2 linked regions of the Macaca mulatta genome follow. The protein of the gene in region 2 binds, or shares a complex with, the protein of the main gene of each other region. Links are inferred from orthologs where the notes say so. Each region holds a gene or a part of one and is shown on either strand. Other genes may lie near its edges. The genes, in order: CCND3 and CDK4.

Evidence for each region.
Region 1: the proteins of CDK4 (region 2) and CCND3 are in contact, whole or in part, in a crystal structure (PDB 7SJ3), measured with the Homo sapiens proteins. The link is inferred for Macaca mulatta from reciprocal best matches to the Homo sapiens genes CDK4 and CCND3. Residues at the interface, in NP_000066.1 of Homo sapiens: Gly46, Gly47, Gly48, Leu49, Ile51, Thr53, Val54, Arg55, Val57, Ala58, Leu59, Arg61, Arg62, Glu64, Ala65, Phe66, Val77, Ala79, Val89, Asp129, His132, Ala133, Asn134, Cys135, Arg163, Ile164, Tyr165, Ser166, Tyr167, Gln168; in NP_001751.1 of Homo sapiens: His11, Pro13, Arg14, Ala15, Gly16, Pro17, Asp18, Arg20, Leu21, Arg26, Val27, Ser30, Leu31, Arg33, Leu34, Arg37, Tyr38, Glu74, Lys112, Leu113, Arg114, Glu115, Thr116, Pro118, Ile121, Glu122, Pro134, Arg138, Glu141, Val142.

What each region holds. Positions count from the first base shown.
Region 1 is NC_133409.1:140,231,032-140,235,398, reverse strand, and holds the start of CCND3 (G1/S-specific cyclin-D3), read right to left. Parts: upstream 2,927-4,367; 5' UTR 2,781-2,926; coding exon 2,583-2,780; intron 2,293-2,582; coding exon of another isoform or gene 2,083-2,292; intron 1,714-2,082; coding exon 1,498-1,713; intron 1-1,497. UniProt on the Homo sapiens protein: Regulatory component of the cyclin D3-CDK4 (DC) complex that phosphorylates and inhibits members of the retinoblastoma (RB) protein family including RB1 and regulates the cell-cycle during G(1)/S transition.
Region 2 is NC_133416.1:64,928,796-64,933,116, forward strand, and holds the start of CDK4 (cyclin-dependent kinase 4), read right to left. Parts: upstream 3,034-4,321; 5' UTR 2,878-3,033; intron 2,441-2,877; 5' UTR 2,422-2,440; coding exon 2,204-2,421; intron 2,049-2,203; coding exon 1,913-2,048; intron 1,794-1,912; coding exon 1,626-1,793; intron 1,469-1,625; coding exon 1,359-1,468; intron 192-1,358; coding exon 141-191; intron 5-140; coding exon 1-4.

The sequences.
Region 1 (4,367 bases), on a different chromosome or scaffold from region 2:
ACCAATTGGAGGTCTCAGAGGTCCCTTCCAACCTTGACCTTCTAGGAAGTCTTCTGGGCACTCCACACCCAGCTCAGACAAAGGGAAGAGTACTTTTTGCCTGCACTGAAAAACCCTCATATGTAGGCACACACACCACCTCCATCTTTTCACAAAAAGGAAGTTCCCCTTCTACCTTCCAGCCCCAACCCCTCCAAAAACATCTTGCTCTCTGGCCCTGGAAACTAGCTCCACCTTCAGACTTGCCAAAAACTACCAGATTCATCACAAAGAGCTGTGGAGTCTCCTGGATTCCCAACTCTGGCCTCCTACTCCCATCTCTGAGCTACTTGGCAGGAAGAGGAATCCTGTTCCTCGACTCACAGCAGTCGGGGGCCCCAGTACCCTGGCTTCCCTGCCAGCCAATCACAGCAGCCTGCTTGCTGCCCTCCTCCCTGGGAGATGGGGCCCAGAGACTCCTCTCAGGGTCAGCAGAAGACTTGGCCCGCCACAGAGCAAGGTGGAAGAAAGTGCCAGCTCACCCACCCTCTCCCCCCAGCCCCCTAGGAGACAATCTGCATGTCCTAAATAACCTCTTCCAGATCCAGCAGCTGCCCGGGACTGAGGCTCCTTCTGAGGCGGGACAGAACCGGTGACTTTCCTGCCCTGTCTGAGCCCAGCCCAAGTTTCCAGCAAGAGGCCCAGGGAGCCACTTCCCAAACCACAGGAGTGACAGCAGCTCCCCACAGGGTTATGAAAGACCTTGGTCAGAGAGGGCGGGCCGGGGGAGGGGGCACCATTATCACATCGGAAGCAGCTGCAGCTCACCTCCCTGCCTGTCCCTCAGCTTGGGCCTTTGGCTAAGGGGGGTAGAGGGAGCTGTTTCCACCAGGCCCAAAGCAGCTGCTCCAGTTCCTCAGAATGAGGACAGGAAAGGATTAGGAAGAAGCTGTCTCTTCCGGGATATAAGAGGAAGCAAAGAAGGTGGGATGAAATACATCAGCCCTTCCTTAAAGCAATCAGAGCCTGGCTTTAATTGGCTCTGGGAGGTTTTTCTATCACAAAGTCCACATGAGGATAAAGACTCAACCAAGGCAAACCCCCTCCCCCACATGAAGCACATTCCACTCCCCTACTCCAGTGGGGGTGTGCAGGCATGCCCTTCTGCTGCCAATAAATAACTCATGGTGGCTGCGTAAACCCAGAGGCAAAGTACTAGTGAGTGTAGACATGCAGTTTGACTTGTTGCTATCTGAGGGAAAGACCAGGAAGGAGTGGCATCCCCTGGAGGTCAGGAGGGCGTTTAATGCCTGACTGCAGCTCGAGCCTAGGCGGGAGTGATACTAACCATCACACCACACTGCCCCATCGTTTGTTCCACCCTAATTCCCTTCCCAAAGGTCCTGATCGCCTTGCGCCCTCTCCAGGGAGCAGAAAGCCTCTGATATCTCAAGCGTTCCTTTTCCTGGAAAGTGGGGAGACAGTATGTGTCGGGGGTGGGGGGAGTTACACACGCACCCGCAACTGGCGGGGAGAGACAGCGTGGTCGGTGTAGATGCACAGTTTTTCGATGGTCAGGGGCGTGGTCTCGCGCAGCTTGGAGGCCAGCAGCATGCAGACCGCACCCAGGAGCTGCAACTGCGCCTTTCGGGTGGGGACACAGGACAGGTAGCGATCCAGGTAGTTCATGGCCAGGGGGAAGACTTCCTCCTCACAGCGCTGCTCCTCACATACCTGGGGGAGGGCGCACAGTCACTGCTGGGGCCGGAGCGTGGGGAACACAGCAGCGCGGGGGTGGGGGCGCTGAAGTGAGGTGGGATAGGGAGCAAAAACGGGAGAGAGGGTAAGCTACTTACAGAGACAAGGACCAATAAAGGAGGAGGATGGGCCCTCCCCAAGGTGACGCCCCCCACTTCCTCTGCGCGGCCTCCTCCCCTCTCCCCTTGGTGGGGTGGGGGTGGTAAAGTCAAGGAGCCCTTCCTCAAGAAGGATTCCAAACGGAGACTCCCCTCCCCCACAGCGACGGGAAGTGGGACGCAAGGGTCACCCATGGTAGCCAGAGAGCTGGGACCTCACCCCCATCACCGCCACCACTGCACACACCCGAAGGGAAGGGAGGAGGCTCCTGCCACTGCCTCCCGCACTTTTCATTTCCCTGTCGGCCGGAACAGGGCGCGCGCCACCCCCATCGCCTTCCCCGCCAGAACCCCGCGACAGACACAGGAACCGGCTCCCGGGCGGGGGCGGCCGAGCCCAGGGTTTTCCAGGCGCGCTCTCCGGAGAAGGCCGGGAGGGGGAGGGAAGTGGGAGACGCTGTGAGAAGCCGAAGGGGAGACGATGTCCCTGGTCCCGTTTTCTCGGCCCGAAGAGAGGCACAGTTACGGTGCCAAGTGACTGGCACTCACAGTTGGGAGGAGCCGATTAGGGCTCGGGAAAGCAAGGGAGGCAGCTGGCTAGGGTGCCCTAGTGAAAGGCCAGGCCCCGGGGGTCTTAGCCTCGGAGCATCCTGCAGATTGCTGTGGGGACCGCGATGTCCCGACAGGGCGGCCCCGGTGTGTCCAGACCCGGGAGCGGTGGGGGAGGGGGACGCGTCCGGGCGGTACCTCCAGCATCCAGTAAGCCAGCATCTTCCGCATGTGCGGCTTTATCTCCCGCTGCACGCACTGGAAGTAGGAGGCGCGGGGCACGTAGCGCTCCTCCAGGCGGAGCAGGCTCTGCAGGACACGCTGGTCCCCGAGTAGCCGCGGGTCCGGCCCGGCCCGGGGCGCGTGCCGGGTGCCTTCGCAACACAGCAGCTCCATACTCGGGCAGCGCACAGGCAGGGCGGGAGTGCGGGCTCGCGAGTTTCAAGGCAGGCGACGGGCCGGAGAGCGCGGAGAGCGGGTCTGGCGCTGGCGCTGGCGCTGGCACTGCGCGGCGGATCCCCAGCCCGCCCGCCGCCCGCGCGCGCCGCTTCCCTGACAGGCGCCCCGCCCCTCGCGACGATGTAGCAACCGTGGAATGCTCGGACGTCGCAACGCTCCGAGGGGCGGGGCTGCGGCGCCCCGGACGGAAAGGGCTGGCTGGGCGCTCTCCCCTCCCTCCCGCGGCCCCATTGGGCCGCTGAGCGCAAGCCGGCCGGCTTCCGGGCACTCCGGGCCCTCTGGACCACCGGGTGCAGAGAACTTTCTAGGAGGTGGGCCTCCTACCCACCCACGAGCCCTCCCATTTTGCTTCTCGGACTCTAGTCACCCAGGAAAGAATTTTTCTCCAAAGGTCATTCATTCACTTATTCATTCGTCAAACCCTACTTCACCGGCTGCTTGCTCTAAGGAATGCGATAAATAATGTCAGAGTCAGTTCTTAGTGAACACTGCTCCAAAGCCTCACAATGTAATGACTCACTACATCTTCACGAAAACTCGGAAACCGAGGCAACTGTCATTCGGTTGGCCCGTGGCAGAGCTAGGATTGGGAATCTGGCCTTCTTGCTCCAGATTCTGTGCTCTACACCACTGCTAGTTAAACAGTGATCCCAGACCTGTCCCGTGCATGGTCATCGCCTGGGAGCTGGTTAGAAATGCAGACTCTCAGGCCCACCCCTAACCTGAATCAGAATCTGCATTTTAACTAGATTTCTGTGCACTTTAAAGTATGAGAGCTGGGCCGGGCGCGGTGGCTCACGCCTGTAATCCCAGCACTTTGGGAGGCCGAGGCGGGCGGATCACAAGGTCAGGAGATCGAGACCACGGTGAAACCCCGTCTCTACTAAAAATACAAAAAATTAGCCGGGCGCGGTTGTGGGCGCCTGTAGTCCCAGCTACTCGGGAGGCTGAGGCAGGAGAATGGCGTGAACCCGGGAGGCGGAGCTTGCAGTGAGCCGAGATCGCGCCACTGCACTCCAGCCTGGGCCACAGAGCGAGACTCCGTCTCAAAAAAAAAAAAATAAAAATAAAAAAAAAAAAATAAAGTATGAGAGCCTTAGTCTAAATCAGCATATAACAGAACGGAAAGGCCATGGAGTCAAGGCCTCCTCACCTTGTCAAGTTGGTTGCCCAGCTTTGGACAAGCCCCTAAAGTCGGCCTTAGTTTCTGTTTGGAGAAACTGGACGGAAAAACTAGATTCTCACTGAATCAGTTTCTCCCACAGACTCTGAGATCTACCGGTTGCATTTCTTCCACCTCCCAAACTTTTGGTTACTTTGTAGTTTTACCGGAAGCTGGATTCCCTTGACCAAGAAGCAGACAAAAGACCTCCAATAATGCTCCAAATGGGAGGAGGCTATAGAGGATCCCTGCCCTACTGGGGTCCTCCTGACTTAGAAGACACTAAGGAAGTGTCTCTTTCCTTACTAAGGAAGTAACTAGAGAAATGACACTATGTAGAAGATGTAAGTTCTGTGCCAACC
Region 2 (4,321 bases):
CAGGCTGTGGGGGACAGGAGAACTCTGGTCAGGAGGGTCCTCCAGTTCCCATCCCCATGGGCAGAGCCAGTTGCCATCCTGGGCTTAGCAGAAAGAGGACTGAGAATAGAAAATCTTTTTCTCCCACGTTGGTCACTTACTCAAAGATTTTGCCCAACTGGTCAGCTTCAGAGTTTCCACAGAAGAGAGGCCTAAGGTGAGAAGGGACATAAGGTAGCAGTCATTTTCAAAGATATCTTAGTTGAATGGTTACTGCTTAGTGGCCCAAAATAGAAAGCACAGGGAATAAAGGTCGATAATTCCAGCACTTTGGGATGCTAAGGTGAGAGGACTGCTTGAGCCCAGGAGTTCCAGATCAGCCTGGGCAAGCAAGACCTTGTCTCTTAAAAAAAAAAAAAAAAAAAAAAAAAAAATTGCTGGGCACAGTGGCTCACGCCTGTAATCCCAGCACGTTAGGAGGCTGAGGCAGGTGGATCATGAGGTCAAGAGATTGAGACCATCCTGGCCAACATGGTGAAACCCCGTCTCTACTAAAAATACAAAAATTAGCTGGACGTGGTGGCACGCACCTGTAGTCCCAGCTACTTGGGAGGCTGAGTCAGGAGAATCACTTGAACCTGGGAGGCGGAGGTTGCAGTGAGCTGAGATCGCACCACTGCACTCCAGCCTGGCGACAAGGCGAGACTCCGTCTCAAAAAAAAAAAAAAAGCCAGTCATGGTGGCATGCACCTATAGTTTCTGCTACTCAGGAGGCTGAGATGGGAGAATTGCTTGAGCCCAGGAGATAGAGGCTACAGTGAGCTGTAATTGGGCCATTGCACTCCAGCCTGGGTGACAGAGTGAAACCTTATTGCAAAAATAAATAAATAAATAAAAGAGAATAAAGGGATATGAAGTTCCTAATTCTAGAGCATTTCAGAGCTTTCTGCTATGGGCAAAGTAGTCAGTAGTATGCAAGTAAAAGAATGGGGCCAGGTCCAGTAGTTCACGCTTGTAATCCCAGCACTTTGGGAGATAGCGGTGGGAGGACTGCTTGAGTACAAGAGTTCAAGACCAGCCTGGGCAATATACTGAGACCCCCCCTCTCTACAGAAATATTAAAAAACTAGCTGGGCATGGAGTGTCAGCTACTTGGGAGGCTGAGATGGGAGGATCACTTGAGCCCAGGAGGTTGACACTGCAGTGAGCTGTGATCATGCCATTGCAATCCAGCCTGAGCAACAAAGCAAGCCCTGGTCTCAAAAAAAAAAAAAAAAAAAAAAAAAAGAGAAAAAGAAAGAATGGGCAGGGTGTGGACGTGGTTTATGAACAAGCAATTTGGGGAATTCAAGGTGGTCCAGGGTATGTGGGTCCCATACTTTCGACGAAACATCTCTGCAAAGATACAGCCAACACTCCACATGTCCACAGGTGTTGCATATGTGGACTGCAGAAGAACTTCGGGAGCTCGGTACCAGAGTGTAACAACCTAAAGAGAATAGGAAGAATGGATGGGGACTCCATGGGTTACCACAAAACACAACTTGCTTGACTGAACACACGAAGCACATGACTTCTCAATTGCTACAGGCAATCACTCTCCTACTCCCAACCAGAACCCATTTTGGTACCATCTTTCTACTGACCACGGGTGTAAGTGCCATCTGGTAGCTGTAGATTCTGGCCAGGCCAAAGTCAGCCAGCTTGACTGTTCCACCACTTGTCACCAGAATGTTCTCTGGCTTCAGATCTCGGTGAACGATGCAATTTGCATGAAGGAAATCTAGGCCTCTTAGAAACTGGCGCATCAAATCCTAGTTTAGAAGGGGGAGGTACAGATGCACTGGAAACTAGGCACACCATACCTGAAATCCCAGGAGGTTTTACTACAAAGGTCCCAATCCACCTCTCAATGCCTACCAACCCCACTCACCTTGATGGTCTCGGCTGGCAAGCCTGGTGGGGGTGCTTTGTCCAGATACGTCCTTAGGTCTTGGTCTACATGCTCAAACACCAGGGTTACCTTGATCTCCCGGTCAGTTCGGGATGTGGCACAGACGTCCATCAGCCTGGCCAGAGTAAATGCTCACTTTTCAATCCCCTTTAACCCAACATGGCCTCTCATTATTTCCTCAGGGTCCCCACTTCTCTACAGATCACCACACCCCACCTATAGGCTGTCTTTTCCCTTTACTCCCCACTCCCCTCGTCACCACCTTCTCACCGGACTACATTGGGATGTTCAAAAGCCTCCAGTCGCCTCAGTAAGGCCACCTCCCGAACTGTGCTGATGGGAAGGCCTCCTCCAGCTCCTCCTCCATTGGGGACTCTCACACTCTTGAGGGCCACAAAGTGGCCACTGTGGGGATCACGGGCCTTGTACACTGTCCCATAGGCACCGACACCAATTTCAGCCACTGGCTCATATCGAGAGGTAGCCATTCTCAGATCAAGGGCGACCCTACAATCACAGACTCCTATCACCAAAAGTCCCTTACAGAATTAGCATGGTATGAGCCTGCAGCAACAAAAGGACTCCCAAAAAAAAGCACAAAGAGCAACACTAGCATCCCATCCCCCGCTCGCAGCCTTCCTTGGGGCCGGCCCCAGAGATAACACAATGACTCAATACCAACCCCTCCAGCCACGTGAGGCCCTGCAATAAAAAACGCATTTTCCTTTGGGACAATCGCGCCCTGCACAAAGATCACACATGACACATGCCTTGCATCAAAGATCCTACACCTCAGTCCCTAAAATTATACTTTCCCATGACCACAAAGGCCCCACTTCCCGCCCTTGAGCGACCCCTCCATAACCAGCTCGAGAAACGAACGCGTGGAAAACTGTGAGGGGGGCGGGCACTGGTTCTCATTCCCGGGAAGGGACTGCACTTACCTCACGCCAGGCCGGGGTGCTGCGGGGGCGGCCCGTTATCGGGGCCCCGGAGCTGGTTCCTACGGCCCCATACACCCAAGCTCGGTCCGGGGCAGCTGGACGCAGAGGGCCCGACCATAGACACAGGCCGCAAGCTAGAGAGGCCCCCTCACCCCCACCCTCACCATGTGACCAGCTGCCAAAGAGGCGCGCGGAAACTGGGAGGGCGGGGCGAACGCCGGACGTTCTGGGCACGTGACTGCCACCCATGCGCGGAGGGGTGGCCAGGAGCCGCTTTGACGGGGAGGAGGGCGAAGAGTGTAAGGGGGCGGAGGGGCGATGGTAGCCACGTGATCTGTTGCTATCACACGTGACCGCTTGACATTGCTCTGAGGAGCAGAGGTGTGGTTACGCGGCGGGCACATGACTGGCTGCCACAACCCCCGCCGCGGGGGGGCGCGGTAAGGGGACAAGAGAGGGTGGAGCCCGAGGCGGTGCCATGGCAACCTAGGCCACCCAGAGCCCAACTCCCGGCTGAAGGATTGTCTCACTACCGGTCTGAAGGCTGAACTCCAGTCTCACTACCGGTCTTTCAGCCTGTCTACATTGGGGAGGGAATGGGAGTTGGGGTACCAGAGGTGATGCTGTCACCTTTTCGCTCCACCATGATAAAACATACTCTCATTTGTGTCATTGATTCATTCATTAATTCTACAACATTTTACTGAGTGCTTGCTTCCAGTGTGTATGTGGGTTTTTATTTTGTTTTGTTTCTGGTGTCTGTCACTGGCCCTTTAAAGTAGTGGTACGACTATCTAGAAAGATGTAGCCAACAATGGGGTCTTCTAAAATAGGGAGTAAACAATGCCCATTTGAGGGCAAAACTACGATTAAAGGACGGACAGAAGGCAGATTAATACAGTAATCCAACAGGTTCAGTGACAAGGTAATGCCCCCTCTTTTCTCAACTTCCAAATCTCCCTGGGAGTGTTAATGCAAAGACCTGAGGCCATCTGGCAGAGAAGTTATTAATGAGCAGGAGACAGGAATACTTGACCTTTAAGTTTTTTTTTTCCCCAGTAGGACGGTTCTATGATTATGTGATATTTTTATATGTGTATATATACTTCTATGTATATATGTATGTATATATTATTTATTACATGTAATATATAAGATGGATACAGGAGTGTACATGTGCAAGAAAGTTACCACCACACCCCCTGCACCCTCCAGACCACCACAATGAATGAAAATGACATGTCTCCTTCTGTAAACCTTGTGACTGCTCATTTGGAGTCATTGTGCTTCCCTCTTTTTCCCTAGTGCCTCTTTCTTAGCACTTAGCGGTGTCCAGAACACACTTTTTCCCAAATGGCCTCTGCCCACAGACACCGAGGTAGACGTAGGTAGATTTCTCCTACTTTCTTTGTTTTATTGGCTCCAAGGTCTTCATGTCCTAGCC